Cricetulus griseus: one gene and its partners. The protein of the gene in region 1 purifies or fractionates together with the protein of each later gene. This does not show direct contact. Links are inferred from orthologs where the notes say so. Each region holds a gene or a part of one and is shown on either strand. Other genes may lie near its edges.

Evidence for each region.
Region 2: the proteins of Rfc4 (region 1) and Atad5 purify together in Homo sapiens (affinity purification with mass spectrometry; 5 studies listed by BioGRID and IntAct, counting the BioPlex papers as one, with this or other methods). This does not show direct contact. The link is inferred for Cricetulus griseus from reciprocal best matches to the Homo sapiens genes RFC4 and ATAD5.
Region 3: the proteins of Rfc4 (region 1) and Rfc1 fractionate together in Homo sapiens (co-fractionation; 7 studies listed by BioGRID and IntAct, counting the BioPlex papers as one, with this or other methods). This does not show direct contact. The link is inferred for Cricetulus griseus from reciprocal best matches to the Homo sapiens genes RFC4 and RFC1.
Region 4: the proteins of Rfc4 (region 1) and Hnrnpu fractionate together in Homo sapiens (co-fractionation; 3 studies listed by BioGRID and IntAct, with this or other methods). This does not show direct contact. The link is inferred for Cricetulus griseus from reciprocal best matches to the Homo sapiens genes RFC4 and HNRNPU.

The regions. Positions count from the first base shown.
Region 1 is NC_048597.1:65,802,251-65,810,588, forward strand, and holds the start of Rfc4 (replication factor C subunit 4), read left to right. Parts: upstream 1-4,136; 5' UTR 4,137-4,288; intron 4,289-4,303; exon of another isoform or gene 4,304-4,432; intron 4,433-5,156; 5' UTR 5,157-5,167; coding exon 5,168-5,292; intron 5,293-7,160; coding exon 7,161-7,239; intron 7,240-8,338. UniProt on the Homo sapiens protein: Subunit of the replication factor C (RFC) complex which acts during elongation of primed DNA templates by DNA polymerases delta and epsilon, and is necessary for ATP-dependent loading of proliferating cell nuclear antigen (PCNA) onto primed DNA.
Region 2 is NC_048600.1:93,534,450-93,542,703, forward strand, and holds the start of Atad5 (ATPase family AAA domain-containing protein 5), read left to right. Parts: upstream 1-3,572; 5' UTR 3,573-3,943; coding exon 3,944-4,009; intron 4,010-8,254. UniProt on the Homo sapiens protein: Has an important role in DNA replication and in maintaining genome integrity during replication stress.
Region 3 is NW_023276807.1:132,326,199-132,333,842, reverse strand, and holds part of Rfc1 (replication factor C subunit 1), read left to right. Parts: intron 1-1,623; coding exon 1,624-1,731; intron 1,732-3,894; coding exon 3,895-4,074; intron 4,075-4,650; coding exon 4,651-4,755; intron 4,756-7,238; coding exon 7,239-7,638; intron 7,639-7,644. UniProt on the Homo sapiens protein: Subunit of the replication factor C (RFC) complex which acts during elongation of primed DNA templates by DNA polymerases delta and epsilon, and is necessary for ATP-dependent loading of proliferating cell nuclear antigen (PCNA) onto primed DNA.
Region 4 is NC_048598.1:15,823,049-15,830,692, forward strand, and holds the end of Hnrnpu (heterogeneous nuclear ribonucleoprotein U), read left to right. Parts: coding exon 1-47; intron 48-394; coding exon 395-494; intron 495-1,042; coding exon 1,043-1,155; intron 1,156-1,901; coding exon 1,902-2,165; intron 2,166-2,286; coding exon 2,287-2,406; intron 2,407-2,785; coding exon 2,786-2,914; intron 2,915-2,999; coding exon 3,000-3,168; intron 3,169-3,366; coding exon 3,367-3,621; intron 3,622-3,867; coding exon 3,868-4,049; intron 4,050-4,260; coding exon 4,261-4,332; intron 4,333-4,785; coding exon 4,786-4,839; 3' UTR 4,840-5,881; downstream 5,882-7,644. UniProt on the Homo sapiens protein: DNA- and RNA-binding protein involved in several cellular processes such as nuclear chromatin organization, telomere-length regulation, transcription, mRNA alternative splicing and stability, Xist-mediated transcriptional silencing and mitotic cell progression.

The DNA of each region.
Region 1 (8,338 bases):
ACCCCTGCATAGATAGACAGGCATGTAGATCTGCAAAAGGAAGAGGCTGGCCCATCCTCTTGGTTTTATATATGTTTATTTTCTTCCATAACTGACTTTCATTCTCATTTCCATCAGATCCTAGAGTGGTGGTTCTCAGCCTATATGTCTCGATCCTCTTGGGGTCACATATCAAATATCCTGCATATCAGATATTTACATTGTGATTCATAGCAGTAGCAAGATTATAGTCATGAAGTAGCAACAAAATAATTTTACGGTTGGGGATCACAACATAAGGAACTATATTGAAGGGTCACAGCATTAGGAAGGTTGAGAAACACTGGCCTAGAGCATAAAGCCAGACTCACATGGGCCCCTTATACAGATGGTTTTTGTGCAAAGGGCCGTGGGACTGTACAGCAGTGACAACTAGTATTTAACAAGTTGACCCACTAGACATTGCTGGAGAATCCTACTAGGCAACGCTGACTCACCAGACACTATTGGGGGCCCCCACTTGGCAAAACCGTGGGGTTATTGACTGGATGACTGGTTGTTCCTGTAACTTTCTCAGGTACCACTACTATGCCTCCCAGCCCTTTGGTGCTGTGTTTTATACTTCTTGGGAACACATGTAGCTGTGGATACTCAGGAAGATGATGCTTAGATTGTATAATTTTGATGAACAGAAATAACACTATGATATTTTACATTGCTCAGACTGCCATAGGATTCTCAGTCACAAGGAGACTTTTGCACAGACAGACTTCAGAGCAGATTCAAAGCAGGCTGGTTGCCCTTGGAGACAAATTCACGAGGTCATTTTCCCAGGCATTGTTTTGCTAATTCAAGGCCAGAGTTCGAAGTAACGTTAGTCTGCACATACTCCTCAGTCTCAAGGTTCAGCCAACTGTCCACTGTCTGGAAGCCCTCACCAACTTAGAGCTACGTGCTAGGCCACTTGCAGTAACCAGTCGTTGTGACATTCCTAGCCTGAGAGAAACTGCATGACTTAACGTGTTGTGAGTATGGGTTGAGCCCTGAAAAATAACATATAATCGTCTGGAGCCTGGCTGTGAGAGAGGGAGAGGCAGACAGCAGAGAGTGAGACCAGAGGAGAGGTGAGAGAGTTGGGATGGTGAAGCAGAGAAAGAAGGAGCAGCGACGAAGGGGCAGCAGAGGCCAAGAAATGCACAAGGCTGCTATGAGAGAGAGAGAAGTGTGAGAGTTGAAGAAGAGAAAGCATGAGATAAGTGTGAGAAAATGAATGAGCGAGAGTGAGAGGGTAAGGAATGGACGATGGAGGAAAAGTGTGTGTATGTGGTGTGAAAGAATGCTGTGGGAAAGAGGGATTGCTATGTAGAAGAGCTGTGCATGGGAACTGTCTAAAGAGTTGCACTGTGAATGAGCTGTGTAAATGAGATGCATAGCTATGGCAGTGTGGAGATTTGTAACTGTAATTGTTATAAAAATAAGTAACTGGGCAGGAGAGAAATGTCTCTATGTAAAAAGATTGTCAAGAAAGAGAGATTATTGGGCTGGAGAGATGACTCAGCCGTTAAAGGCTAGGTTCACAACCAAAATATATAAGAGATCATTTAAGTTGAAGTAAAGGAGAAGTCACCATCAGGAAACTTGTCCCTTTTTTAAGTTACCAGCAGAAATCATGTTACCCTCAAATAGAAAAGTCTAGCTACCCTCCAATAAGAATCTTTCCCAATATTCTGAGGCTTTCTTTTTATTAGCCTGGTGCTGACTGGGGACTGATCCCCTCCCAAGTCAACTACATTTTTGTATTTGTCCATAAGCAGTGGGGTTTTCCTACTGACATGGTGTCAGAACAGTCCAAGAATGAGTGCTTGTGAGAAAACTCCAAGAAAACAAGCCAAGAGTTTTGTATCCTGTTTCTTCAAAACACAGGTTTGTTCTTGAATGCGCTTGTGTGCCCCTCCAAGGTGTAGAGGATAAAAGTGAGTTTACTTCAGATTACAACTAGCTACTGCTATTTGTTTACATGCCTCTATGGAAAAAAAAACAAAAACGGTTCTGCCATGCACAGCTTATCCTTGTGATGCTACACTTTCCTCATGTGACTCTTCTTAACCTTTGGAGTACCAACTGTCTGATGCCCTGAATAAAGTTAGTTATTATGTGAGACATTAGTCTGCCTTGTTTTGAGGCTCCATTCTCCCAGGTCCCACAGATTTTAGAGTGGTAAACAACAAGTTTTTTCAATTTAGGCGCTCCTGTATAGTTTGTTTTCTCACCCCCACTCACAGTAACTGGGCTATTTTCTGGAAGGATATCAAATAGTGTAATGACAAGCAACTTTGTCTGTCTTGTGCTGGACAATTTATAATGAATGGATGTTTGCTTGGTTCTTGAATCTGGGAAATTTCAACTTAAGGTGCCACCATCTAGTGAGGATCTTCCTCTGAGCCATCTCAAGGGGGAAGGGAGACTGCAAAGAACAAAGTCTTTGATTACAACATGAATCCTGGAATTACTAAGGACAACACTGGGGGTTGATTACATTGGGGTTTTCCACCTGAGTTTTAGAGGAGACAAGATCATAATGTCCACTCACCAGAAACCTTCTATGACAAACACATAGTCCCAGACACTAGAGATTGTGACCCTGTTGGTGTGTGTAAGGACTGGAAATGTACTTCTTACAAACCCCTCAAGTGCTTCTGATGCAATCCAGCCTTTGAGAACTGTGGTTCTAGAAAATGAGCCTGATTAGAGAAATCTAGAAACATTTCTGGTGGAAACAATAACATTTCTTCCACCGAGGGGCAAAGGTCAGTTGATCCAGTTGAGGAATGGCAGCCCCAGGAAGGTGAGCATCTGTAGTTCCTGTGGATAACATGAATCCCGACAGTGCAATAACTAGATCAGTCTTTACGGTTGGATTCGCGGCTGGCAACTATCTAACTATCTAACAAGGCTGGTCTATCTAACTATCTATCTATCTAACAAGGCTGGTCTATGGACTTACTGGGCTAACATGAGGGCATCTAAATGCAGAGGTGGCTAGGAAGCAAAAGGCTCACGTGGACTAGGAAATCCTCAGCAGGACATGCTGTCCAATGGATGTTAGCACATGCTACAAAGATATTCTCATTCCCTTCTTTTGTTTGGCCCTAGACTCTTTCTTCAGGCGGGTGCTGGGAAGCAAACTCCAGGCCTCTGGAAGAGCATCAAATGCTCTTAACTGATGTGCCACCTCTCCAGCCCAACCACTAGATTTTTGAGTGGCTCTCAAGAATCACAAGATAAGTAGATGGTCCTCCCTCCCTGCAACAAGCTGACCTTACTTAAAGGCAGTAAAAGACACCTGCTCTGGGCTCACGAGTCTGCTCACTAGGTAAAGAAAACTGCCTTCAAGACCATGAAAAGGGACCTTTTAAAAAAATATATTTAATATGCACTGGTGTTTTGCCTATATGCACTCTGTGTGAGGATGTCAGATCCCCTGGATCTGGAATCACAACAGACAGTTGTGAGCTGCCATGTGGGTGCTGGGAATTGAACCCCAGGTCTTCTGGAGGGACAATCAGTGCTCTTAACCGCTGAGCCTGAAAAAGGAAAGTTTTTCAGGTATCTCCTTTCTTTAGTTTTGCTGAGTGTGTGTGTGTGTGTGTGTGTGTGTGTGTGTGTGTGTGTGTGTGTGTGTGTGTTTTGCCTGAGTGCACGTACATGTGCACCACATACATGTAGTGGCTGCGGAGACCCCAGGGGGGAGTTGGAGCCCCTGAACTGGAGTTACCAATGAGCCACCAGATGGATGGGTGCCGGGTATCAAACTCAGGTCCTCCCCAAGAGCAGCCAATTCTTTTAACCGCGGACCCATCTCTAGCTTCAGACGTCCCATTTCTTAACAGTTTGCCCTGTGCCCATTCAGGATCGGCTCGGGGTGGGAGCAGTACTCTGCCGGGTGCCCCCTTCCAGCGAGTAAAAGCGTCCCGGCCCGGCCTTTGGGGTGACGATGGCAGCAACGCACACCGCTTGCTTAAAACGGGTCCTTCGAGACCTCCCCCGCGGAGCATGCCGGGCCTGAGGCCGAGTCAACCCGCGCCGCACTCGGCCGTGACGGGAGCGCGTCAGAGTCTGGTCGCAGGGTCCTCACAGATTGCCCCAGTGGAGGCCCGCAGCCGTAGCCGGTAGGGGCGCCTTTCCAAGCCTAACCAAAAAGACGCGCGTCACCCTGGCCCGCGCGCCGGAAGTGACTCGCGCGTTCCCGCCGTGCCTTTCGCCGCCGTCCTGTGGCGGGAACCGAGGCATCTGAGGGACGGTGGCGACTGTAAGTGTCCGTTCTGGGTGTGCTCGGCCTGGGTCCGGGCTGGCGGGATCCGGGCTGAGTCCTCCACCTCCGCGGTGGTCACTGCAATCCGCGGCTCGGGCGGCATTGTATGCAGCCCGCGGCGGGAGGCCGCAATCCCGAAAGGTGACAAGAAACTGGCCTTGGACCAGACAGTGACCGCTTGCAGTGTTTTCTCGAGCCTTAATTAACCTGTGTGCCAGGGTTAGAACTACGTGTTTGCAGCCATTTACTTAATTCATTTACTTTATGGAGTCGTCTTTAGCCCCGTCCTCACATTTCATTTGGTAAAGCAGAATGTCTTGGAGCCAAACACGTCTAAGCACCGACTGTACAGCAGTGGGGAAAGAGAGAGAGAGAGAGAAAACAAAACAAAACACATTGCCATCGATGCTGGGAGTTATTAGAGAAGCCGGTGATCGTGGAGGGCTGGTGGTTTTGAAGCCCCTGAAAATAGCCTGTAAATGTGCTTATGTCTTAGTTAGGTTTTGTATAAATCTTAAACATCCCATTTTTGATTTCTTATTTTGAGTTTATCAGAACAGTAACGGTTGCCTCTATAGCAAGGTCCCACTTTCCCCTCCCCACCTCCAAGTCTCTGAAAACCAGCATTGGCTTTGCCAGTAAAGCCACGCTCAAGGCCCAAGAAGAGATGCTATTGGTCAACAGCTTAGATTTGTCTCAGAATTCCTTCCCTCTTATGACCCTGTGACCCCGAGTGCATTCATAACATCGTAAGTCATGAGATGATGCACTTTAGCAGTTGGCCTCTGCACAAGGTTGAGTGTCTTTTCATTGAGAACTTGCTCACAATTGTTTCTTTTTTCTTTTTCTTTTGTCTTATACCCAGGAGAAGAAACCATGCAGGCATTTCTAAAAGGCACATCTGTCAGCACTAAACCACAATTCACCAAGGACCGGGCAATACCTACAGGAAGCAGTGGAGAAACCAAGAAAGTCAAGCCAGTTCCTTGGGTGGAAAAATAGTAAGAATTATCCATATTTTTGTTGAAATAACTAAGTTTCCTCCCTAATCTTTTATAGTCCACTGGATTTTTGTTTTGTTTTAATGTAAGGGAGATTTGTGGTATTTAGATGCTACTACCTTTGGGGGGTACAGTTTGGGGGGGTCTTAGATACAGAAATGAAAACGTTTCTGTGAGCTGGTTATAAATAGTAGTCCTATTGAAATCTAGATTCTGGCCCTCTTTTATTATTGTATACTGGAAATTGTTGGGGTTTTGTTTGGTTTTAGTATATAAAAGGTTTGAAGTAGCACTAAATTGTCAGCTAAGTGATACTAGACGTAATTGTAACCATTAGCTAGATGTATTCTCTGATTATCGAGGGTTTTCAGGTTATTTACAAGCCAAACAAGGTCCTAATAAATGACTTATGATAAAAGTTACTAGCTGGCAGTACAGGACTGATCCAGACCCCTGAACATGGATGTCAATGAGGAGGCCTCTGCACTCTAGGAGGCCCCTGGTAGTGGATTAGTATTTTTCCCTGGTGTAAGAAGGGACTTTAAAGCCCATCCCACGTGAAGGGATGCTCTCTTGCCCCAGACACATGGGGGAGGGCCCAGGCCCAGCCCAGGATGATGTGGTGGACTTTGCGGAGCCCCCATTGAGGGCCCTACCCTTCCTGGGGAATGGAGGGTGGATGAGATAGGAGGGGTGAGGGGGAGAGGAGGGAGAGGGAGAAGGCATTGACATGTGAAACAAGCTTGTTCCTAATTTGAACTAATTAAAAAAAAAAGAAAAAAATATACAAGGATACACTCAAAAATGGTAAATAAATATGCTTTGCTACTAGAAAAAAATATTGATGTGAAATAAGAGAAAAATCATGAAAATTGTTGATTTCCAATTCTTAAAATAATGAAATAAAAAATTACTGAGTAAATTAAAAAAAAAAAAGTTACTAGCTGGGAGTGGTGGTTTGTATATACCTCTAATTCAAGCACTCAGGAGGCTGAGACAGGCAGAGCTCTGAGGTCAAGGCTACCCTGGTCTACAGAGTGAGTTCCATCGAGGATAGCCAGAACTAAACAGAGAAAACCCCGTCTCAAACCAAACAAAAGGTCTCCTTTGGTGTAGTTAGGTGTTAGAAAAAAATGGTACTGACTATTTAATGCATTAGCTGATGGATGGGTGTGTATATGATTATTTTAAGCAAAGTAGTTGCCAGTTATTAGATTTATTATTTTATAAACTAGACAAGTGTTCCCCCCAACACACACACTTTTTTTTTTTTTTTTTTTTTTTAAGTACAAGGTCTGACTGTATAGCCCTGACCTAGAATACTTATGTAAACCAGGTTGGCTTCAAACTCAGAGATTCTCCTACTTCTGTCTCCCTTGCTAGGATTAAAGAGGTGAGCCTCCACACCCAGCTCACTTTTTTATTATTATTAATTTATTTTTTATATTCCAATCCCAATTCCCCCTCCCTCTTTTCCTCCCACTCCCCCCCCCATCAAGCCCTCCCCTTAGGAAGTCTGCTAAGTCTGTCCCATTATCTAGTTGAGGCAGGACCAAGGCACCTCTCCACCCCCACACCCCTGTGTCAAGGCTGGGCAAGGTGTCTCTCCATATAAAATGCATACCTGGTTCACTTTAAATTTAATTCCTCTGCTTAATATTTTGTGTGTGCAGTACAGGTAGAGGCAAAAATAATTTCATTTCAGTAGTATGTATTTGCTTGAGGTAAATACACATGAAGATTCTGCCTGCTTCCAATTTCATAACTAATATGAGAGCACTATTATTGGTATTTTAGCAGAAGGAACACTTTGGACTTTTCTGTGGCTCCATATATGCTAAATAACCTCCTTTCCCTCCATCTGTTAGTCGTCCAAAATGTGTGGATGAAGTTGCTTTCCAGGAAGAAGTGGTTGCAGTACTTAAAAAGTCTTTAGAAGGAGCTGATGTAAGTAGATGGTGTTTGATGGCACTGGGAAGTTAGGGTTTATTCACCTCTTCCTTTATTTTAACCTCTTATCCATAAATATAACCTTATATGCTATAAGTCTTTGATGCTATTTATAAAACAATAGTCATCTTCTGTGTGACGTTCTTATGTAGTATTCAAGTAAAGACCACTGAATAGCTGGGTGATGGTGACACATGCCTTTAATCACAGCACTCAGAAGGCAGAGGCAGGCAGATCTCTGGGAGTTCGAGACCAGCCTGGTCTACAGAGTGATTTCCAGGAAAGCCAGGGCTACACTGAGAAACTCTACCTAGAAAAACAACAACAAAAAAGATTGCTGAATAAGAGTAGGACCCTTTCTCCGTGAGCTTTTATTTTGGAGAGGAAAGAGACTAAACAAGTAAATCAAGAGGTATAAGCATGTAATAAGTAACAGGTTATAGAAAAGAGTCGATTTTAAAATAGATATAGTTGGCTGGGTGTGGTGGCATGTGCCTTTAAATCCAACACTCCAGAGGCATAGACCAGCCACAGTGAGACCCTGTCTAAAACATGTGTATGTGTGGGTGCCTTTTTTTTTTTTTTTAACAAGATTTACGCTGTCTCACAATGCAGGCAGTGAGGACATGGGACTTGAGTTGGATGCTCACACTGCATTTATGACCAAGAAGCATAGAGATGAATGCTAGTACTTATTCCCTTATGCCCTAGTGCTCCTCAGTGAATCTAGAATATACAATCAGTCCTACGTCCCAAGTCTCTCCCTCATCAACTTGACATTCAAACATATAACTTAAGCTATGATATTCTATCCCTTGTCCCCTTAGGCTGATGACTAGCTTATAATGTAAAATGTATTCAAAATAATTTCAAAAATTCTGTCTTCAGCAGTTCTAAAACTGTTTAAAAGCATAAGAACAGAGACTCTTCTGAAACTCTATCTCTAAGCTGTGAGTCCCTTACAATTCCAGCCAAGTCACATAATTTTAATGAACAATTGTAGAGTGACCATCCCTATCCCAAAAGGGAGGAAGGGGGCATAGCAAGGGAAGAGTAGATCAAAGCATATCCTAAACCCAGCAGGACAGATATCCAT
Region 2 (8,254 bases), on another chromosome or scaffold:
GGGCCTTGAAATTTTTTTTTGGTGTTTTTCAAGACAGGGTTTCTCTGTGGCTTTGGAGGCTGTCCTGGAACTAGCTGTTGTAGACCAGACTGGTCTTGAACTCACAGAGATCCACCTGCCTCTGCCTCCCGAGTACTGGGACTAAAGGCGAGTGCCTCCACCACCCGGCTGAACTTTTTTAAAAAAAACTTATTTATATTTTTATTTTACATGCATTTGTGTTTTGTCTGCATGTATGTCTGTGTGAGGATGCCAGATTCCCTGGACCTGGAGTCACAGACAGCTGTAAGCCACCCTGTTGGTGCTGGGAATCAAACCAGAGTTCTCTAGAAGAGCTGCCAGTGCTCTTAACTGCTGAACCTTCTCTTTAGCCCAAACCTTTTTTTTTTTTTTTTTAAAGAAGGAGTTTCTCCTTGTAGCCTGCTTCATCTGGCACTCTGTGTAGATCTGACTAGCCTCGAACTCAGTGACGTACCTGTCTCTGCTTCCTGAGTGCCACCATGCCCTGCTTAGGCCTGGAACTCTTTTTTTTGTTGTTGTTGTTTTTTTTTTTTTTTTTTTTTTTTTGGTTTTTCGAGATAGGGTTTCTCTGTATTGCTTTGGAGTCTGTCCTAGAACTCGCTCTGATGACCAGGCTGGCCTCAAACTCACAAGAGATCCACCTGCCTTGGCCTCCCGAGTGCTGGGATTAAAGGCATGCCCCGCCACCACCCAACTGGAACTTTTATTTAATTTTTTTATGTTTATTTTTTTATTTTATTTTATTTATTTATTTACTTACTTTATTTTAAGACAGGGTCTCTCTGTGGCTTTGGAGGCTGCCCTGGAACTAGCTCTTGTAGACCAGGCTGGTCTCAAACTCACAGAGATTTGCCTGCCTCTGCCTCCTGAGTGCTGGGACTAAAGGCATGTACCACCACTTCCCGGCTTATGTTTATTTTTTAAAACAATCTTTTTTATTTTTACTTACCAATCCCAGTTCCCCCTATTATCTTTAAAGTTATTTATTTATTTATTATTTGATGGGGGGTAAGTGTGTCTTTGTGTGTACTCTGGGAGGTAGAAGAGAGTCTGTCACTTTGTTTACTCCTTTGCGGAAGTCTCTCCCTGAACATGCACTCATGGCTTCTCAGTTAGGCTGGAGCCCAGGCCTGGTGATCCTCCTGTCTCTGCTGGTCTCAGAGCTAGGGTTACAGCCAGACACAGATGCCCAGTTTGTTACATGGCTGCTGGCTGGAAACTGCAGTTGTCATGATTGTACATCAAGCACTCTTAACACTGTTCCCTTTCTCCAAAACTATGCTTAACATTTTCCTTTTATTTTTAAGTTTATTTATTTTTAAATTATGTGAATAGCTGTGTGTCTCTGGGTATGTGGATGTGAGTGAGTGGCTATGAAATTCAGAAGAGGGCATCTGATCCCCTGGAGCTGGAGTTACAGGTTGTCAAGAGCTGCCTGAGTTAGGGGCTGGTAACCAAGCTTATGTCCTCTGCAGGAGCAGTATGCATTCCTTGTTTTTTTTTTTTAAAGATTTATTTATTATTTATAGTCTTCTGTCTGCAGATATGCCTGTGGGTCAGAAGAGGGCACCAGATCTCATTACAGATGGTTGTGAGCCATCATGTGGTTCCTGGGAATTGAACTCAAGACCTCTGGAAGAGCAGGGAGTGCTCTTAACCTCTGAGCCATCCCTCCCTAAGGCTGTCTTCTTATGTTTGTTAGTTTGCTTGTTTTCCAAGACAAGGTTTCTCTGTGTAACAGTTATGGCTGTCCTGGAACTTTCACTGTAGACCAGGTTGGCCTTGAACTCAAAGAGATCTGCCTGACTCTGCCTCACAAGTGCAGGGATTAAAGGTGTGCGCCACTACTGTGCAGCCCAGTGTACACTCTCAACCCCTGAGCTACCTTTCCAGTACCATTTTGATTTTGCTTTTTTAAAAAAGATTATTTATTTTTTATGAACAAATGTTTTGCCTGCATCTATGTCTCTTTGCTATTTGCTTGGTGCCACAGAGATCAGAAAAAGGGTGATGGATCTTCTAGAACTGGAGTTATAGACTGCTGTGAGCTGCCATGTAGGTGCTAGTAATTGAACTTGGGTCATCTGTAAAAGGAGCCGGTGCCCTTAACTGCTGGGTCACCTCTTTAACCCCCTGCTCCATGCTTGGCTTTTTATTGATTTAGAGTTGCATTTTGGCAATGCTCAGGATTGATACCACCACCTTGTGAACGGGAGGTGTTTCTCCAATACTCTACCTTCCTAGCCCTCATTTCTTTTTATTGCTGAGAAGGATTCCATTGTATGGTTATGACATGGTTATGCCACAGTGTGTTTACTAACCTATCTGATGAAAGCATGAAAGGAGAAGTTCCATTGTGGGCGATGCTATAGAGCAGTTAAATCTTTAACCAAGGTAGCAGGGTTTTATACATACTCTTTGTAATGGTTAAATCATGGGCTGGGTATGTAGCTCAGTAACAAAGCACATGCTTTTTGTATCTGAGGGCTAGAGAGAGAACTCAGTTCTTCTTGCTCTTGCAGAGGATCTGGGTTTGGTTTCCAGCACCCACATGGTGTCTCAGGGGATCCAATGTCCTCTTCTGGTCTCCACAGGTACCAGGCATACACATAGTACATATACATACATGTAGGCAAAACACTCATACACATAAAATTAAAATAAATTTTTTTTGAGACAGGGTTTCTCTGTGTAGCCCTGGTTGTCCTAGAACTAAATATGTAGACCAAGATGGCCTCGAACTCAGAGATCTGCCTGTCTCTGCCTCCCGAGTGCTGGGATTAAAAGTGTATATTCACCACCACCACCTGGCTTTTCTATCTCTTTTAAACTTCTATTATTTATTTATTTGACAGAATCTCTTGGTTGAACTAAAACTCTATGTAGACCACCACCCGGCTTTTCTACGTCGTCTTAACTCCTTTCTATTTATTTATTCACTCACTCATTTATTTCTCTCTTTTTTGCTCTATCTATCTATCTATCTATCTATCTATCTATCTATCTATCTATCTATCTATCTATCTATCTATCTATCTATCTATGTATTATCAGACAGATTCTCTTGGCTGAACTGGAACTCTATGTAGACCAGGCTGTGCTGGAATTAAAGCCATTAAAGTCGCACTTCCTGGCTTTAAAATATAATTTTAAGAATGGCTACAGTCGCTGGGCAGTGGAGGCACCTTTAATCCCAACACTCAGGAGGCAGAGACAGGCGTATCTCTGTGAGTTCGAGGCCAGGATGGTCTACAAACGGAGTTCTGGAACATTCAGGACTCAAAAAAACAAACAAACGAACGAACGAACAAAAAAAAAATGCCTTATGTCTAAGTCTTAGTTCGGCCACCAAGTGACTAGGTAGCCTTAGAGAAATCACGTCCTGAATGGTCAAACTCGCCTGTAACACCGAGTCACGAACGTCTGAAGTCCCACTAGGATTCCAAATAGACCTGGTTCCGTCGCTTGCTGATTCGCCAAACGAAATAGTTTGGTCTTAGTGGCTCACCGTAGGCCCAGTCTCCAGAAGCGGTCATAGGCTCCGCCCCCTGCGCTCCGGACGGCGCGAAAACCCAATTGACAAGAAGTCCCAGGAAGCCCAAGGCCTGATCGGCGTTCCGTGTGCAGCGCCCACTGCGGCCCGGGGCTCGAACGCTGAGCCTGGAGCGCCTGCCTCGGGGTCACCGTGCACTGTCCGGCCGCCTCCGCGGGGCCTGCGCCCGCGCTTTCTCGACGAAGCCTGGCTGGACGGCCCTGGGCCCAGCCTCGCACTCGCGTCCGCCGGCTGGGCTCTGGGGGACCCGTGACGGACCCCGCGGCCCCGCAGCTCGCTCCCATTGCACCGGCCGCCTCCATGGCCTCCAGCCAGGCTGGGCCGGACCGCCTGAGGTCCTAGGATCCGTGGCTCTGGGAGGCAGGGATCATGGTGGGGGTCCTGACCATGGCGGCGGCTGCAGCTCCCCGTCCAGTCAAGGACTACGAGATTGAGGTGAGCTCGAGGATCTGTCAAGTTCTTTCCTGCCTGTGTTGGCGAATTGTGGCGTGGGGGTGGTGGGAGTCCTGCTTGCTTCTGAGACGGGGAAGGAGTGATGTGATGATCCGCAGCTATAATTTTGTGTGGGATGGTTGCCTCGGTGTATCGTGGTTAAGTCCTCAGTGGAATTCTCAGAAATTTTCGGGCTCGCTGTAAGCTCAAGATTTGAAAACCACTGTTCCCGGGTCCTGAAACATTGGTGGAATGACATGTCACCGAGGATCTCAGGCTCCAATTCTTTGTTCGTGATGTGGAATCATAGAACAGCGAAAAAGCTTTAAGTGCGTCTAGTCCGTACACACAAACATCTGTCCTAGGAATTCCATATGGAATGTCACTTAAGAATTAAGTGAGGTATTTAAGTCGGTTTCTCGAGGCTGCAGAGCTTAATGTAATGTAGTTAAGAGTCTCTGTGACATGTTAGGTGTTCTGTATTTACCGCGTTTCAAGAGTACACTAAGCTGAAGACAGTGCTTAATCTGGGAAGCCCTGGTTTACAGAAAGAAATAAAAATACACTAAGCAACCATAATGATATTCTATGCGATTAAGTAGTGGCTAGGATCTTAAAGTACATGGCTGATATGTATATGTAGATAGAAAAATACCCAGGCTGGATTCGGACCTACTGATCCTCCTGTCACCACTTTCCAAATGTTGGGATTACAGGCTTGTGCCTCTTCATAGCTGCTATGTTTTTTTTAATATACCATGTCTCAGACTAGCATTTTAGTTAATGTGTTGTGGTGCCTTTGAAGTGAGCTAAGATGTGTGCTCACTTCAGTCCTAACTCTTTGTTTTGTTTTTGTTTTTCGAGACAGGGTTTCTCTCTGTAGTCTTGTCTGTCCTGGAATTCATTCTATAGATCAGGCTGGCCTAGAATTCAAAGAGATCCTCCTATCGCTGCCACCTGAGTGCTGGGGTGGAAGGCTTTCAATACATTTTCAAACTTGTTTTTATTTCTTGTTACGTTTATAAATTTACAGTTGTGTATTGGTAGTATGGAAATCAGAGGACAACTTGTAGGAGGAGTCAGTTCTCTTCGTCTACCCTGTGGTTCCCAAGGCCTAAACTCAGATTGCCAATTTGGCAGCAAGTGCTTTTATCTACTGGGCCATCTCACTGGCCCTGTTTTAGTTTTTAGACAGGATCCCATGTAGCCCAGGCTTGTGCAAGCACAGCCAGCTTACATTTCTTTGTAGCATATTTAGTAGTTTCTAATTATAATCCTAAGAACTTGGTTTCAAAAATATTTCTTTTTCACATATTTTTTAAATGATTTATTTATCTTCATTTTATTTACATTGGTTGCCCGTATGTATGCCTGTGTGAGGGTGTCAAATCCCCTGGTGCTGGAGTTACAGACAACTGTGAGCTGCCATGTGGGTGCTGGGAGTTGAACCCTGGTTCTCTGGAAGAACAGATAGTGCTCGTATCTGCTGAACCATTTCTCCAGCCCCATCACATGAATGTTTTTAATTTCTATGGCTATTTAGTCATTGTTGTGCCGTAATTATGGCACAAGCAATTATTGATGACTTTCTCCATTCCAGATCCTGTGTTTTCAGGATCAGTCAGCCATGCTTCTTCCCAGGGGAAGTTGCCAGTTTGTGTTGCTTGCTCCATAGTCACAGTTCTGTTGGGATGATATGACAGACTTTGGAGATCCCCCATGGAGGTCCTTACCCTCCCTGGGGAGCAGAGGGGGGATGGAATGGGGGCTTGGGGGTTGTTGTGGGGAGGGGGAGAAGGGGAGGGAGAGGGAGCTGGGATTGACATGTGAAGCAAGCTTGTTACTAATTTAAAAAATTTTAAAACAAAAAAAAAAAGAAAAAATAGATTTCCATACTAGTAGATATCAGGGCAGGTACTTTAACTTAATTCTGACTTGAATGTCTGTTGTGTGATGTCTCTGACACCATCTCAAAGCTTTATAGACCATAATAATAGATTCTTTTTTTAATTCACTTATTTCAACATACATAGTTTTGCTTGTATTTTACCTCATTTATCTAAATGGTCAGAATTTGTCCCACTATCATCTCTTAGTCTTTTATCTGTTAATTTGGATGTTAGTTTTACCACTTAAATTCTTTTTAAAAATTATTTTTGCTACATTTGCTTATTTATTGTAAGTGCAGGGGTCAGCATATGTGTGGAGGGCAACTTGTGGGAAGAGGTGCTCCCTTTTTACCATGATCCTGGCAAATCAAACTAGGTTACTGGGCTGGACAGCAAGTACCTTTGCTTTCTGGGCCGTGTCGGAGATCCCCTGTATGAATTCTTACATAACCTTGTCTGGTTTTGCTTTTCAGACACACTCCATTGAGCTTCTTGCCTACTTGTGCAGCATCAGTACTATGCTTTTAACCACAATAGCCCTGTTAATTCATTTGAATTTTCTAAAAATAAAAATTTCATCCTTATTACTTGTCTTTAAAAATAAAGTTTTTGTTATTTTGGCAGATGTACTTTTTCAAATGAGCTGAGAAATTAGATTGGTAGTAGGATGGAAATATAGCTCAAGGGTGAGTTTATTTAGTATTGGAAGGCTTGGGTTCAATGAAGCAAAAGACAGAAAAAAGTTAGGGCTAGAGCAGTAGCTTAGTTGGTAGAGTGCTTGTACCAGGAGGGAGTGGGGTGTGTATAAAAACTAATGGAGTTGTTTGTTTGTTTGTTTATTAGACAGTCTCATTATATAGACTAGACAGACCGGCCTTAAACTCAGAGATGTCTGTCTGTCCCTGTCTCCTGAATGCTGGGATTAAAGGCATGTGTGACTATGCATAACCAATAATTATTTTGTGACCAATATAGTAGTATGCATTTTTAGTTATGCAAGTTACTGATGCATTTATTAACTCATTTTGATCATTTTGGTTTTATATACATATGGCTTAGTCACTGTTTTATTGCTGTGAAGAGACACCATGACCAAAGCAAGTTATTTTTTAACTTAAAAAAAATTTAGTTTTCATTTTACATACTAACCCCATTTTCCCCTTCCTCCTTTCCCCCCCACCAGGCAACCCCCCCCCCAGACAGGGTTTCTCTGTATAGCTTTGGAGGCTTCCTGGCACTCTCTCTGGAGACCAGGCTGGCCTCGAACTCACAGAGATCCTCCTGCCTGTGCCTCCCGAGTGCTGGGATTAAACGCCAAGTCAACTTTTAAAAAGGAAACATTTCATTGGGGCTTGCTTACAGTTTCAGAGGTTTAGTCCATTGTCATGGTAGGAGCATGGCAATACTCATGATGCTTGGAGCTGTAGCTGAGACTACATCCTGACCAGAGAGAAAGAGAGAGACTGGGCCTGGCATGGGCTTTTGAAACTTCAAGGCTACCCACCCCCACTGCCAGTGACACACTTTCTCCAGCAAGGCCACACCTCCTAATTCTTCTCAAATAGTGCCACTTTCTGATTACTAAGAATTCAAATGTATGAGCTTATAGGGCCATTCTTATTCAAACCACCACAACATATTTGCTTAATTTAGTGAATTTCTAGGTCAGGTTTAAGGGTCTTTGTCAGTAGCTTATATTTATACTTGTTTCTTTGAGTTCTCATACTGTAGCCCATGCTGACCTGGAACTCTGTGCAAGCTAGGAGGGCTTCCAGTTCACTGTAGCCCTCCTGCTTCAGCTTCCAAGGTACTGGGACTATAGTATGAGTCACCATGCCCTGCTTTTGTTTATACTTAAAACATACAATACACATAGAAACTAAATGAGAAATAATATCCTTCTAAAGGTAAGCTTAGATATTGTAATCTAGTAAATTCAGAACAGTAAGATACTTCCTTACTCTGGTTGATCCGTATCATTCACAGATAGTCAAGAAGACAAATGTAGATCACAGAAAATCAGACCAGTTAATTTGTTCTGTGCTACCCTACCTGTTTCACAGTTCAAATCCCCTGTGCTCTAAGGTAAACCCATGAAACCTTTAGAAGAAACATATACAGCCAAAAATGGGATCACAGTTGTTAGTGAGCCAGTAGCTGGATGAATCCTAGTCATACTCAAGATGCATCAAAAGTCTATTTGCTCTAGGGATTTAGAGAATAGAGCTAAATCTATGTGCTGATCCATGTTCAAGTAGAGTCTACTTCTAGAAGTTGGTTACTTTTTCTAGTTATGTCATTGATTTTTTTCTTTCAAACAGTGTCTCATGTAGCCTTGACTATCTTCAAACTCACTAAA
Region 3 (7,644 bases), on another chromosome or scaffold:
CTGAGACCTACATGGTAGAAGGAGAGAACTGTCTTCCACAGTTTGTTCTCTGACCTCCACACATGTTGTAGTGCACGCGCGCGCACGCGCAGACACACACACACACACACACACACACACACACACACACACACACACACACACACACGAAGTAAATGTAATAAAAAAATTTTAAAATGTGTTTAATGATTTATACAACCATTTAGAGCAGTGCCTGGGATGTAACAATTGCTATCTGAATTTTAGCTTTTGCTTGAAGTATCAGTTAACTTTTTGCCCTCAGATTTTTCTTCACTAAATACTTATCTGGTGGAAAGGTATTTCTTCAGGCATACTAAGTACATGGGGAAGTTTACAGAGGGTGACTATTTTGGGGGAGGAGGAGATAAAAGTTTTAAAAAAGTGATACTGTTATTTTTATGGTGTTTTCAAAGCTGGACTCAGTAACTCAGAACCCGTACGTAGGAACATTAGAGTTTAGTAAATTCAGTTGATCTTAGTCAAGTAATTCTGACATAGTAAGTGAATATGCTTCAGGTGTTTTATAGCCAGTTGTGGTGCATACCTGTAATCCCAGGACTTGGGAAGCCGAGGAAGGAGGATTGATAGTTTAAGGTCAGCTTCAGCTACGTAGTGAGACCTGTCACAGAACAAACAACAAGGCAGGTAGGCATGCAGAAAGTCCAAAGTTATTTCACATTTTTACAAGATAGAATTACTGCTACAGGGGGCTGAAGAGATGGCTCAGAGATTCAGAGCACTGCTTGCTCTTCCAGAGGTCCTGAGTTCAATTCCCAGCAACCACATGGTGGCTCACAGCCAACTATAATGAGATCTGGTGCCCTCTTCTGGCATGCAGACATACATGTAAGCAGAATACTGTGCACATAATAAAGAAATAAAAAAAAAAAAAAAAAAAAAAAGAATTGCGACTACAAATGAGTGACGCTCCCAGTTGTATATGGTTGTTAAAAATATGGCTTCCCAGGGCACATGGTCTAGGCAGCTGTATTTTGATAAGGACTTTTTTTAGTGGGTGAGAGCCATTGTTAAGTAGGGTTGGGGCCAGATGTGATGGTATATGCCACTAATATCAGCACTCAGGAGGCAAACATAGGTAGATCTCTTGAGTTCAAGGCCAGCCTGGTTTACATAGTAAGTTCCAGGCCAGTCAGGGCTTCACAGTGAGACCCTGTCTCAGCAACAACAGCAAAAGGCTTGGATTCTAAGATCAGCTGCAGTAGTTGGTTTAACTCAAAACCAGCTTAACTATCTTATTGATCATATCACTTATTTATGCAAATGAATATTTTGTCTACTTTAAGAGATTTGGAGTTACATTTAAGTTAAAAGCAATATAAAGTAGGAATTGGAAAAATAATGTAGTAGTTCTAAAAGTTATCTAGGGGACCCTCCCCAATATACACGTGCTAGATACATCCAGTATCTCTGAATCAGAAATACATGCATACATACATACACACACATACATGTATCTCCATTTATATCTGTCTGTCTACCTACCCATCCATCCATCCACATCCATCCATCTAAATTAAATGTAATTCTTTCTAGGTACATCTTAATTTTACATGACTTTTTTTTCTTTCCCTGTGTCCAAAGTCTGTAAGTCCAGAAGATTCTGAAAAGAAGCGTACTAATTATCAAGCTTATCGAAGCTACTTAAATCGTGAAGGTCCCAAAGCTCTGGGCTCCAAAGAAATACCCAAGGTAAGAGTCACGAGGATTGTGCTACTCTGTGCTACTCTGCCTCCTGTTCCAGCAAAGAGCCAGTATTAACAGAAAGGTCTCAGCTACCTTTTTATGAATTAGAAGTTCTTATTTACATTGTGACTCACTGGTGTCCTTTAAATAATAAGTAGCCTGAGAAGGGATGTGCTTTTCCATGCCTTCATGGACTCAGAGCTTAAGGAAAAGCATGGTAAATGCATTAATATCTGATAGTGATTGTAGTACCGTGCTGTGAGAGAAAAGTCCTAGGTGCTCTTAGAGAGTATAGTAGAGAAACATGGATGATCCTGGGTGGATCATTTAGATCAGTGGTTCTCAACCTTCCTAATGCTGTGACCCTTTAATACAGTTACTCTTGTGGTGACCCCAACATAAAACTTTTTGTTGCTACTGTTAGGAATTGTAGAAAAGAGAGCCTTATCATAGCCTCTATATAAAGATGGGGGTGAAAACCAAAGTGGGATTGACAAGTAGCAGCCCAGATGTGAGAAAGAAGTCTGATGTGAGTGGTATAGGAGAAGTGCAGGCAAGAAAGGTGATTGAGTGGTATGATCTGCTATGTTGTGAAAGTTGCAACAATGAGAAGACTCAGACTTGTCCATTGTATTTAGTAACGTGAGTGATGGTCCTTAATGGCCCCAGCAAGAACAGTAGAGACAACTGATGCAGTGGCTTCAAGAGTCTGAGGTGACAAATGGAGACGTGTTTTTGATAAGTTTGGTTGTGAAATAGAAATGAAGAGTGGGATTTAAGGGAAGAGGTGAATGTTTTTAAGGTTGGAGGTGTACTTAAGACGTGTTTCTTGCTGATGGAGTAGACCCTCCCCAAGGGAAGGATAATTAACTGTGCCATGGGGCTTCTGAGAATCTAGGAGATAAATTTGGTAGACATTTAAATTTAATTTTCACTTTGCTACATAAGGCGATTAGAAGTTCCCCTAAGAAGAAAGGGTAGGTAGCTAGAGGGAAGGGAAAGGGGCTGGAAGAAGAGATCAGCCTTGCCTCCTGTATAGGGTGTAACGCTGAGAGACTGAACAAGTAAGTGCCTGTTGGAGGACTTTAGGGCAAATGGTGTCCCTACGGGACTGCTGTGTTTTTGTGACAGCAAGGCTGTGAGGGAATGTTGAAGAGGCTGCCAGGAGTTTCCTGGAGTCAGAGCTGTAGAGGAGTCTAATGGATGAGATGGTAAGGACGCTGGTGAGGCTGAGCTTGGGTCAGTAACATGATATTGTGAGCTCTAGTGGGAGAGCACTAGGGAGACAGTAGTTTGGGGTTTGAAAGGAGGAGCTTCTTGATGTGGAGTTCTCCAGGGTGACTTGGAGTCTGTTGTGAAGATTTAATAGTTCATTTCACTCCTAGAAATGGAAGGACTGAAGAGAAGCTGTTAGCCATTTTCCCCTTTCTTTCTCAGTAAATAATAACTATTCTTTCCTCCTTTGTTCTAAGAAAGGTTCTTTATGTGGCAGAGGAATGATCAGCTTACGCTGGAATATGCTTCCAGTTTTCTTTAACTTTTTTTAAAATCTCAGTGCTATTCACAGAGTAATAAGGAGCAGGGCATATCATGTAGAATGACCATTTTGTTTGTATAATTTAGTTGATGTTATAAAAATTTTGAAAATCTATAACTGTACGGAGTTGTAGTTCAGACTTAAGAAGAGAAGCCCGGTCAGCTCTTAGATGGCCAGTTATCTTTGTTCTATGCTTCTAGCAGTTTCTTAGGTTCACTCTCAGTCGGGTAATGATCAGAGAATGATAAACGCTCCAACTTGATAGGCTTTCCAGAACCCAAGCTGTACTTTAACAACAGTGGGCTTGTCAGTGGGCAGATTACATTTGATTGTTTACTTGAAGCTATGAAAGCAAATTACTGATTTAAATATGAAAAGTGGAGAATTGCATGAATGGGTAATTTTAATTTTGGTAACAGTATGTTTTTCCTCATTCATTTGGTATGTGTTAAATGTTAGCTATGTAGGAATTCATCAGGATTTACTTTGAGGTTCTGCTGTAATTTCTATCTAGGTTTCATGCTGGGGTCTTTATTCATCATTATTTATGATGTCAAGTCAGCTTGTTCAGCTATATTTCTTTGGAAAGCTACCTTGTAATTTCTTCTCTGCTTGAACATTTTGGTTTTTAGGGAGCTGAAAATTGCTTGGAAGGACTGACATTTGTGATCACAGGCGTGCTGGAGTCCATTGAACGGGAAGAAGCCAAGTCTCTAATTGAACGTTATGGGGGCAAAGTAACAGGAAATGTGAGCAAGAAAACCAACTATCTCGTTATGGGCCGGGATAGCGGACAGTCCAAGAGTGACAAGGTGGGTCCTGCTGGCGCTCTTCACAGTAGTACCTGCCTGCCAGTGTGGCTGTTTGTGGTAATGCTCCTGGCCACATTACAGTTAAAAAAGAAGAGAAAGAACGCCTTCACCCTGTAGTTTTGTCTTCTTCACATACCGTATGTGTGTTTTTGGTTGTGACTACAGATTTTGGTTTGTTTAATTGGAAGCATCGTTGCTATTTACTTGATTTTCTTTGTGTATTCTAGTTTTAAAAATATTGTTAACATAGAAACATACAGGTTTTTGTTTTGTTTTGTGTTTTGGTTTTTCGAGACAGGGTTTCTCTGTGTCGCTTTGGAGCCTATCCTGGCACTCGCTCTGGAGACCAGGCTGGCCTCGAACTCACAGAAATCCTCCTGTCTCTGCTTCTTGAGTGCTGGGAATTAAAGGCATGCACTGCCACTGCCTGGCAAAATCTTAAAAATAATTAAAAATAAATTCTAGTGTTAATTTACAGTGTGGTGATTCATCTGCTAGTAAGCCTTAAAGTAAAATTTCCTCTCCAACAACAAGTAGTTTATATGGAGCTCTGATGACTTGTATTTTAATCAACAGGCAACAGCTTTGGGAACAAAAATCCTTGATGAAGATGGTCTGTTGGATCTGATTCGAACTATGCCAGGCAAGAAATCCAAGTATGAAATAGCTGCTGAAGCTGAGGTGTGTATAAGACAAACCTGGTTTATTGAAGTTGGTATTAGAAGCCTCCTGTTTGATAGAGATGCACAATAGACAGTACTTTTGGCTAGAAAATCAAACTCCTGTGTAAAACAAGTAAATTCACCTTCTTTCTTTTTGACCTGGAAGACTGTCTCAGCATGTCTTTGGTGTTTCTTTACTTTTCAGGGGAGGAGAGAGGGAGTGTAACATATAGTGTGTTGTGTGTAACCTACCTTCTCATCCTTATTGTCCATATATATATATACATCTCATAACATACATACATGCATACATACATACACACACACACACACACACACACACACACACACACACATATATATTTCAAGGTTAAAAAATTTACTTAGCCTTGGCTGGTAAGGAACTTGATATGTAGAGCAGACTGGCCTCAGACTCAGAGATCTGAATGCCTCTACCTCTGAAATGCTGGGATTAAAGGCATGTGCCACCACACCTGGCCTCAGTTTTTAAATTGTGTGTGTGTGGGGGGGGGGGTGGGGGGTGGGGGTGTATGCATGCTCTTGAATGTGGTGTCCACAGAGGCTATAAGAGGGCATCTTTCTCTAGAACTAGAGTTCTGGGCAGTTGTAAACCACCTAATATGGGTTCTGGGAGCTGAACTTGGGCTCCTCTGCAAGAGAAGTAAGTGCTCTTAATTGCTGAGTCATGTCTTCAGTCCATATTCTGTATTCTTGTAGACTTTACATGGCCCTGCCTGAAAGTTTTGTTTTCTATTCTTTGTTTTTTAAAGAGGAGTTTATTAGTATCTTTAGTGAAACTTTATTAGGAATTTTTCAATTATGATAGAAACTAGTCTCTGTTGGCTTTCAACAAAGGGGAGAAAAAAAGAAGAAAGAGTTGACTCACATCTAAGCTGGGGGCAGGATGAACTTGGTCCATCCTTCTGAACCCTTCCATTTTCTGTGTTTGCGCCTCCCAGTGCTGTCACATTGATTCCACTATCTATCTGTGTGTCCACATGCAGGACACAGGAGTGCCTGGATGCCAAGATTATTGTCCCTTGTACCACCACCAGTGTGACAAGATGGTCTGCCCAGTTTATTCCAATAGAAAAGTCCCAGGGGATGATGTAACCATGGTCAAGTTGCAATAAGTAGGGAATGAATGTTGCTGCTTCATGGTTAGCTACAGTGTTTGTTCACCACACTGCACCTTTTCTCTGCTCCAGGTTCCTGCACTACATTGACTTGTGCTGTCTCAGCCTCCTCCAGCCTAGGGTAGTTCTGTCTTTCCTTATTTTATCCTGGTTAGTTGTTTGTAGAATGTCTATCATGGCATTGTGTTACATTTCTCACAATTAGATTGTGTTACCCAGTTTGTCATGAATACCACAGGGTTATACTGTGTCCCTTTTAGTGTGTCTCATGTACATGACATTGATAAATCTTGTTAACTTGGTTGAGATAGTCTGCTGGTCTTCTTGAGTGGATAGTTATTTTGAATCTTCAAAAATGTCTTCTCTTAAATGGTCATTCATAAGTTCTAGCATTACTGGAAGGCATTTAACTGTTTTAGAGATTAAGATTATTTACATTCCTCAAAGTTCACCTATTTAAAAAAAAATCATAATTCACACCTGTGCAGCGATCATCATTATCTAACTAAAAATTATATATTAAGTTTTGATAGTATGTATTTTATGTGTCTGGGCACATGGTGTGCATGTGGAGGTCAGAGGACAACTTGCTCGAGTTGGTTCTCTCCTTTCACAATGTGGGATCTGGGGAGTGAACTCAGGACATTAGACTTGGTGGCAAGCACCTCTACCCACTTGTTGACTCAGTTAATGCATCTAACTCCAAACATTGTCATTATCTTCAAAAAGAAATTTTGTACTTATTTAGAGTTGCTTGTCATACCCTCTGCCTGGCAGTCACTGTGCTGTTGTTTTATGGATTTGCCTATTATGGACATTTAATATAGGTAGAGCCATACCATATGAGGCTTTTGTTTTTAGCCTTTTCACTTTTTATAATGGCTTCAAGGCATATCAAGTTGTACTTTGAATTACTATTCAATCCCTTTTATGATCAAATGTCCCATTGTGTGGATCTTCATAATTTTTTGTTTATCTAAGTTCCCCAGTGGATGTTGGGCTCTTTGATTTTATGGCTGTAATGTGTATGCATACCATATAATACAGCACTGTTCGGACTTTGTATATACAAGTTTTTGAGGAAAACTTGTAGTCAAGAAACTTTGAAACAGTTGTTGTTTACCCTATGACCCCATCTTTTTATTTTAAAAATGACCACTATATTCTTGGCTTTCTGAAAGCAGTGACTTCACACACTGCAGTGTGTGACTGCATTGTGACAGGAGCAGCCTAGATGGAGTAGCTCACTTTCCTGTGTCACCTTGCCTCTGGGTGTAGCAGGATAGAAATCTACTGTGTTTGATCAGGTTTCTCTCTCTTCCCTCTGCTCCCCCCCCATCTTCAGATGAAGAAAGAAAAGTCCAAATTGGAGCAAACACCCAAAAAGCATGAACAAGGAAAAAGAAAAATTAGTCCAACCAAGAAGGAGTCAGAGTCTAAAAAGAGCAAACTGACTCCTCAAAGGGACAGCCCTGCAAAAGCCATAAAGAAGGAAGCAGACATGTCTCGGAGGGGCCTGGACTTCACAGAGCAGGTCGTCAAGGAGAAGCCTGGCAACAACAGGGCTCAGGGTCCAGCTAAGAACAGCAGTGGGAACAAAGTGGAAAGCCTGCTCTGGGTGGATAAGTACAAGCCCACATCACTCAAGAACATAATCGGACAGCAAGGTGACCAGAGCTGTGCCAACAAACTGCTACGCTGGCTCAGAAACTGGCATAAGAGTTCTCCCGAAGAGAAAAAACATGGTGATT
Region 4 (7,644 bases), on another chromosome or scaffold:
GAGCATCTTACGGTGTATCAAAAGGCAAAGTCTGTTTTGAGATGAAGGTAAATGGAATTTTGTGGCTTCTCAGGAGCTTTGTTTTTATTGGTACCAGTCACAGGAGCCTATTAAGTTTTCTTGGGAGACTTTGCCATTAAAATGTTTTGATACCGGAATATAGAGAGCTGTCTCACTTACAGAGTTTTCCTTTAAATATACATTAATTTTGACCTTTGTTAATGCTGTGTATTATCAACTTACTAGTTGTTAGTTGGTGATTGTGATTGGTTAAAGATTGAATGCTTTTCTCTTTGTGTTAATAGCAGAGGAAGAAATTGGGTCCATAACCCAATACCATAGGGTTTAAGGGATTTAGTCTTTTATAGCTTAATCATGTAATTTTGATTCTTAGGTAACAGAGAAGATCCCAGTAAGGCATTTGTACACAAAAGATATTGATATACATGAAGTTCGGATTGGCTGGTCACTAACTACAAGTGGAATGTTGCTTGGTAAAGTTTACTTATATTTGAGTCATGTGGAAGCTTAGATGTTTAAGGTCTGATTACATTATTGAAACCTAGAACTAAAATGTTAATAAGCCTTGACCTGATTTTATCTGTTCAGTGTTACTTTTTTATAGTTAGAATGTACAGACAAGGATAGTTTACTTTCCTTGTTCTTCTGTAGTTCTAAAGATGATTAAAATAGACTACTTTTGGCATGTAAATTGTCAATTTAATGTGTATATCCTACCAGACTATAAGTCACTACTATAAGTCACTTAAGCATTTGGGATAAAGGCAGATCTGTCAGAATGTAAGGCAATATGCTCAATAATTTTTTAAAAACATTTTTTAATTCATTTTACATGCCAACCACTGTTATCCTTGTCCACCACCATCCATTCCTTAGGGTGAGGCATTCTAAGCCTGGCATACTGAGTTGAGGCAGGACAAAGTCCCTCCCCCCAATGATACCTTTTTAGTATATGTTTTAAATAGTTTAGTGTGCTTTGGACTGCTTAGACCCTAATTTTAAGTTTTTTTTTTCCTTTTAGGGGAAGAAGAATTTTCTTACGGGTATTCTCTGAAAGGAATAAAAACATGCAACTGCGAGACAGAAGATTATGGGGAGAAGTTTGATGAAAATGATGTGATTACATGTTTTGCTGTGAGTTAAACTTACTGTAAATATCAGTAGCTGTGTGTGTATATTATAGATTAAAGAAATACTATCCGTGTGATTAAACTTACATACTGATTCTGGGTTAAAGACAGGGCCTTAGGAAAAGAGGCTCAGCAGGTAAAGTTCTGCTGTGTGAGCATCAGAGTTTGGATAACCTTGCACCAGTGTAAAATCAGCACAGTAGCGGGCATCTAACTTGGGTTTGGGTGGGAGTGGAGAAGAAACAAATGAAGCCTCCAGCTCTAGGTTTAATGACAGAGGAATACACCCAACATGGAACCCTGCTGTGAAACAAGGCAGTTAAAATTGGGGGGAAAGACATTTCAAGGATCACAAACATTTTTTTTAAAGATTTTATTCATTATATATACAACATCCTGCTTCCATGTGTATCTGCACACCAGAAGAGGGCATCAGATCTCATAATAACGATGGTTGTGAGCCACCATGTGGTTGCCTGGAATTGAACTCAGGACTAACTGTAATGAGACTTGGCACCCTCTTCTGGCATGCAGGCATACATGCTGGCAGAACACTGTACATATAATAAATAAATAAATCTTTTTTTAAAAAATGAATGGCCTGGGAAACACCCTCTAAATCCTGAATCATTACATCTCAGCATTTAGCTTAAACATGTTAACTGCAGGGTGAGTCTACTCCTGTTTCTTGACAAGTTTAGAAAGCTCTCAAAATAGTTTCAAGCTGGCTTAAAATACTTTTGTTGACAGAACTTTGAAACTGATGAAGTTGAACTCTCCTATGCGAAGAATGGACAAGACCTTGGTGTTGCCTTCAAGATCAGTAAGGAAGTTCTTGCTGACCGGCCACTGTTCCCGCACGTGCTCTGCCATAACTGTGCAGTTGAATTTAATTTTGGTCAAAAGGAAAAGCCATATTTTCCAATACCTGAAGACTATACTTTTATCCAAAATGTCCCCTTAGAGGACAGAGTTAGAGGACCAAAGGGACCTGAAGAGAAGAAGGATTGTGAAGTAAGTTGTTTTCAATGTGGTATTTGTAGATTGTTCATAAACTGAGCAAGGCTAAATGATGGGAAAATTATAAATACTTGCTGATGAATAATAGTCTGTCGTGTGTGTGTCCCCCCCGTAGGTTGTAATGATGATTGGCTTGCCAGGAGCTGGCAAAACTACCTGGGTTACTAAGCATGCAGCTGAAAACCCTGGGAAATACAACATTCTTGGAACAAATACCATTATGGACAAAATGATGGTAAGTAAAATTTAAAGTGTCAAGAATATTAGGGGATACCTCTGAGGAAGAACACTTACTTGCCTAGTATACATTACATGTACCCTGACATTAATCTTAGAATTATAGTAAATGGGTTCAGAAGTTATCCTAGGTTAACCTTGGCTTGTGTTTCTCTTATTAATATCTTAGAGAAAAGAATTTTGGCTAAAACAAAGTGGGGTACTTTAGTGATTGCTTTCCCATAAATTAACCTTGAACAGCAATTTAAAGAGCAAGGTCATAAAAGCTATTGTAGTAATGAAAGGATGCAGTTGAATTTGTAAAAATGGTGCCTGGTGTCCTGTATGTGCAGTTCAGAGCTTTTAAAATACACAAAGTAAAAGAAAAATTTTGGTAGGTGGCAGGTTTTAAGAAGCAAATGGCAGATACTGGAAAACTGAACACGCTGTTGCAGAGAGCTCCACAGTGTCTTGGGAAGTTTATTGAGATTGCTGCCCGCAAGAAGCGGAATTTTATTCTGGATCAGGTGAGCAAAAGCTTTGAAATTTTTTTAATATTAATTGATAAGATGTGAGATTAATGTCTTTTAACTCTTCACTTTTCCCTTTAAGACAAATGTGTCTGCTGCGGCCCAAAGGAGAAAAATGTGCCTGTTTGCAGGCTTCCAGCGAAAAGCTGTCGTAGTTTGCCCAAAAGATGAAGACTATAAGCAGAGGACACAGAAGAAAGCAGAAGTAGAGGGGAAAGACCTACCAGAGCATGCTGTCCTTAAAATGAAAGGCATGGAGTTTTCCTGTTATTACTTACTGTCTTAAGTCTGTTTCTGTGAGTTATGCCTGAAAAGTGTTTTTTAAAACTGCCAGCACTGTTAGGAATTATATTAATTTGGCAAATAGAAATGTGTTTATAAAAGATGTCTCTAAGCTATCCATGAACAAATATAGTTTTATAATTTTAATCTGACTTTATTCCCTATAGGAAATTTTACCCTGCCAGAGGTGGCTGAGTGCTTTGATGAAATAACCTATGTTGAACTTCAGAAGGAAGAAGCCCAAAAGCTTTTGGAGCAATACAAGGAAGAAAGCAAAAAGGCACTCCCACCAGAAAAGAAGCAAAATACTGGCTCAAAGAAGAGCAATAAAAATAAGAGTGGCAAGAACCAGTTCAACAGAGGTGGTGGCCATAGAGGACGTGGAGGATTCAATATGCGAGGTGGCAATTTCAGAGGTGGAGGCAAGTTAATTTTAATATTCTATTCGATTGAAATTTTAAAGTGAGCAGAGGATCTTTTAGTTTGTCAAGTAGCTAAAGAAGTTAATTTCTTAGATATTTTATGCTGCCATGTCTAATTAGTATGTAATTTACAATTCATACTATATATTCAGTAGTGAAGTATGACATTATTTGTTTTTCACTAATGCTGTAACTGGACTGAACTCTAGGTTATGGCAGGACTAAATAAACTCTTCTTGTGTTTAGCTCCTGGTAATCGTGGCGGATATAATAGGAGAGGCAATATGCCACAGAGAGGTGGCGGTGGTGGAAGTGGTGGAATTGGCTACCCATACCCCCGGGGCCCTGTTTTTCCTGGCCGAGGTGGTTACTCGAACAGAGGAAATTACAACAGAGGTGGAATGCCCAACAGAGGGAACTACAACCAGGTAAGAGGAGCTAGCATCTATAATTTGACCTAGAAAGTTGTAGGTGGCATTGACATAGTTGTGAAGCAGTTTAGTTTAATGATCTTTGCTTTTCAGATGCACTAACAGTAACAACAATGACCAGGGGTATACAGGGTTTCAGCATGCCCCTTTAAAATGTCCAAGCATTACTTCAGACCTATTTACAGATATTTTTTTTTCCCTTTCATAGAACTTCAGAGGACGAGGAAACAATCGTGGCTACAAAAATCAATCTCAGGGCTACAACCAGTGGCAGCAGGGTGTAAGTAGTTTTCTTAAGTAATTACATAAATTGTAGTTTTTATGTTTACAAGAATCAGATCGGAAGTTCTTATCTAGGGATTGAAGTGTTTGATACAATTATAGTCTTATTACTGTGTTATAAATTGTAACCATGGATAGGCTGGAGTTTTAACAGATTTTTAGATAAAGTAATATTTACTACATACGGTGTTTTTATTATGGTTCTTTTTAATAGTTTTAATTACGTAAACTAACCCAAGTCTTGTGTTTCTTTTTGTAATGTGTATTGGTAAATAATATGGGTAATTGGTAAATTAAAACTAAGTCTCTGGTCTGATGTAGAAATTAAGTGTGACAAGTATAAATTTGTTTCCAGCAATTACTCTGAATTAGATCATTGTCATTTCCTAAAAACAATTTGAGTGGCTTATTGATGTTTTTTTTTCTTTAAAAACAAAATTTTCTCTTACAGCAATTCTGGGGTCAGAAGCCATGGAGTCAGCATTATCACCAAGGATATTATTGAATACCCAAATAAAACGAACTGATACATATTTCTCCAAAACCTTCACAAGAAGTCGACTGTTTTCTTTAGTAGGCTAACTTTTTAAACATTCCACAAGAGGAAGTGCCTGCGGGTTCCTTTTTTAGAAGCTTTGTGGGTTGATTTTTTTTTCTTTTCTTTTTTGTACATTTTTAATTGCAGTTTTAAAGTGAATCGTAAGAGAACCTCAGCATTGTGCACGATAAGAGAATGTGTCAGTATTTCAGGGTTCTACATTTTATCTGTAAAATGTGACTTTTTTTTATCACAACAAAAGTAAAATGTTGCTTTGTACCTGGTGTCTTTTATTAAGCATTTACTCCCCCATTTCTCACAGAGAATAACAGTCGGGAGTCATTGTCACAATAAAATAGCAATGTTAGCAACCAGATTCATGGAAGGACTAAGTGGTCCTCATGAATTGCATAAGATTCTGTATTGCTCATAATACACTCCATCCTCTCTGTAAACTGGTGGGTAATAGTGGAAAGGAAATTTCTGACAAACCGGGAAAGCTATTCTTTTTTCTGTTTAACAATGGAATTTGAACAATTGGGAATGAAGATAAAATTTAGAACCAAGATTGAGAAGATGGAGTGTATGTAGAAGGGCTGTTAAAAATGTAAACTTGGTTGCATTATATGTGGAGGCTCAAACTTGTGAAGGTTAAATACCATAAATTTTTCCATTTGTTCTGCATTTTGATTCTGAAAAGAAAGCTGGCTTTGCCCATTTCTTATTAAAAAAACTTGTTGTAAATCCAGTTGTCTAATGGGATCTATATGAAGTTAGCTATGTCTGTATGCCCTTCTCCCACAAAATACTGTATAACTAGTGTGCTTGTAGTAGTTAACTCCACCATCTTTGTAAGCTAATGAAATTGTGAGTCACCCATTTATATCTTTTAATCATGTCAGTTCTTGAATGGGTATCTCCTTAGCCTGCTGATTTCTTTTTCTTTCTAAAGAAAGTGGGTGGAGAAATTAATTTAGACGTTTGTTTGCAATAAAAAGAATTCATTTTACTCTTGTTTGGGATTCTCGCCATCAAGGTTCAAAATCCCTTTATACTACAACTCCCAAGAGGAGAAATTATAAGTGTGTGCTTTCTGGACAGCTTATTCTTTTACTCTGTACTTGGAACATTTAGGTTTTAAAAACTTAAATGTATATTGACAATTGATTTATATAATATAAAGCTGAATTCTTCCCTTCCCCTCCCCCCCCAGGTGGCTTTTAACATTTATGAGGGGCAAAGGTACTGGCTGGGAGAAGTTAATGCTCAGTTGATCATGCTTATGAAATGTGAATGGCTGTCCTCACCTGATTATATACATAACTATTACATGAACCTTTGGGAACAGATGCTTTTAGAAGCCATCATGCAAGCCAGTCATTGATTTCACTACTACACAATGCTGCTAACTTAACTAGCTATGTGATAACATTAGATCCCCTAATTGTAATTTTATTGGGTTTGCACAGAACACTTAAATCTAAAGGATCCTCACTGTGTGAAGTGAGAATCAGGAGTCAAAGTGTAGAACTAAAATTAGAATTTAGTCTAGTGTGCCAGTTTTTTTTAGCCTGCTTCTGGTAAGTTTAGGTTTTCTATATTGCTGTTTCTGTAGGATTTTGTTGAGGTATTTTAAATCAGATGTTTTTTAAATGTGAGTTTATTGTAGTATATTCATGGAAATTGTTACAAGGCAGCCAGTTTTAGATTAAATAGGTTGAAATAGAAATAACACTAAAAGGTAGTGTCTTTGGCATTTGGCTTAAAAATAAACTTACTGTTAGTAACTGCTGCATATACATTATTAGGATTATATATTCCTAACCTGGGGGACAATTCAACCTTATAATTCTGATTAATCAATGTTGTTTATCCTGATATTTTAGTTTGTGCCTTTCAAAGACCTAGCAGTAGAGACTTAGGGGGGAAAAAAAGGAGAAAGGGGATCAGCTAACAAAGTAGGACTTGATAAAGTAAAATGCCTTCTGGCAGTAAACACTACACTTAGCAGTTACATCTATGCTTGCAAATTCTCTTTAGTGATTTAGTAAGAGTGATTGCATACAAAGGGGAGGAAAATGACTTATTTTAAAAATATTGATGAAATCAGACCTGAAGGAAAGAATTGACTTAAAAACATGCCCAGTGATAAGCAAAATACTGGTTTGAAATAATGTGTCAACCAGAAAAACAAAAAACAGGATTGCTTTTGGTTCAAGATGTGCTTTCAGTCAAGCTGGGCATGGCAGCAAAGGCCTGTAATCTACAGAGGGGCAGAAAAATTACCACAAGCCTTGGCTACATGTTTTATAGTAGGGCCCTTTAAAGGTCTTACCTTAGTGAAATCCATTGCCTGCTGAGCAAAAGCTGGGGAACAGGGCCACATCGTTTGGTCAACACTAGTACTTAGGAAAATATTGTAGATTAATAACAATTGTAGAAGTATACAAGATAGAACAAATTGGTATAGTCTCAAGTTTCTGATAGGATCCAAGTAGATATTGAAGACCTTGGCTGTGACTAAGAAGGCTTATGGTTAACTTATAAGCCATTTTCTAGATTCTAGAAGACAAAACCAGTATTTTTAACTTTGAGGTTACATTTTGGCTTGAATTTAAGATTCCCTCTTAATGACTTTTCTATAAGCTTGTTCATTAATTCAAGTCTAATAGACTAGACTGTATAAAAAAGACTGATAGCTTTTTAGGTAGTGTGCAGTTGTTAAAGCCTAGTTGCATGTGCATCAGTGTGAATATATTTGATTTTTTTTTA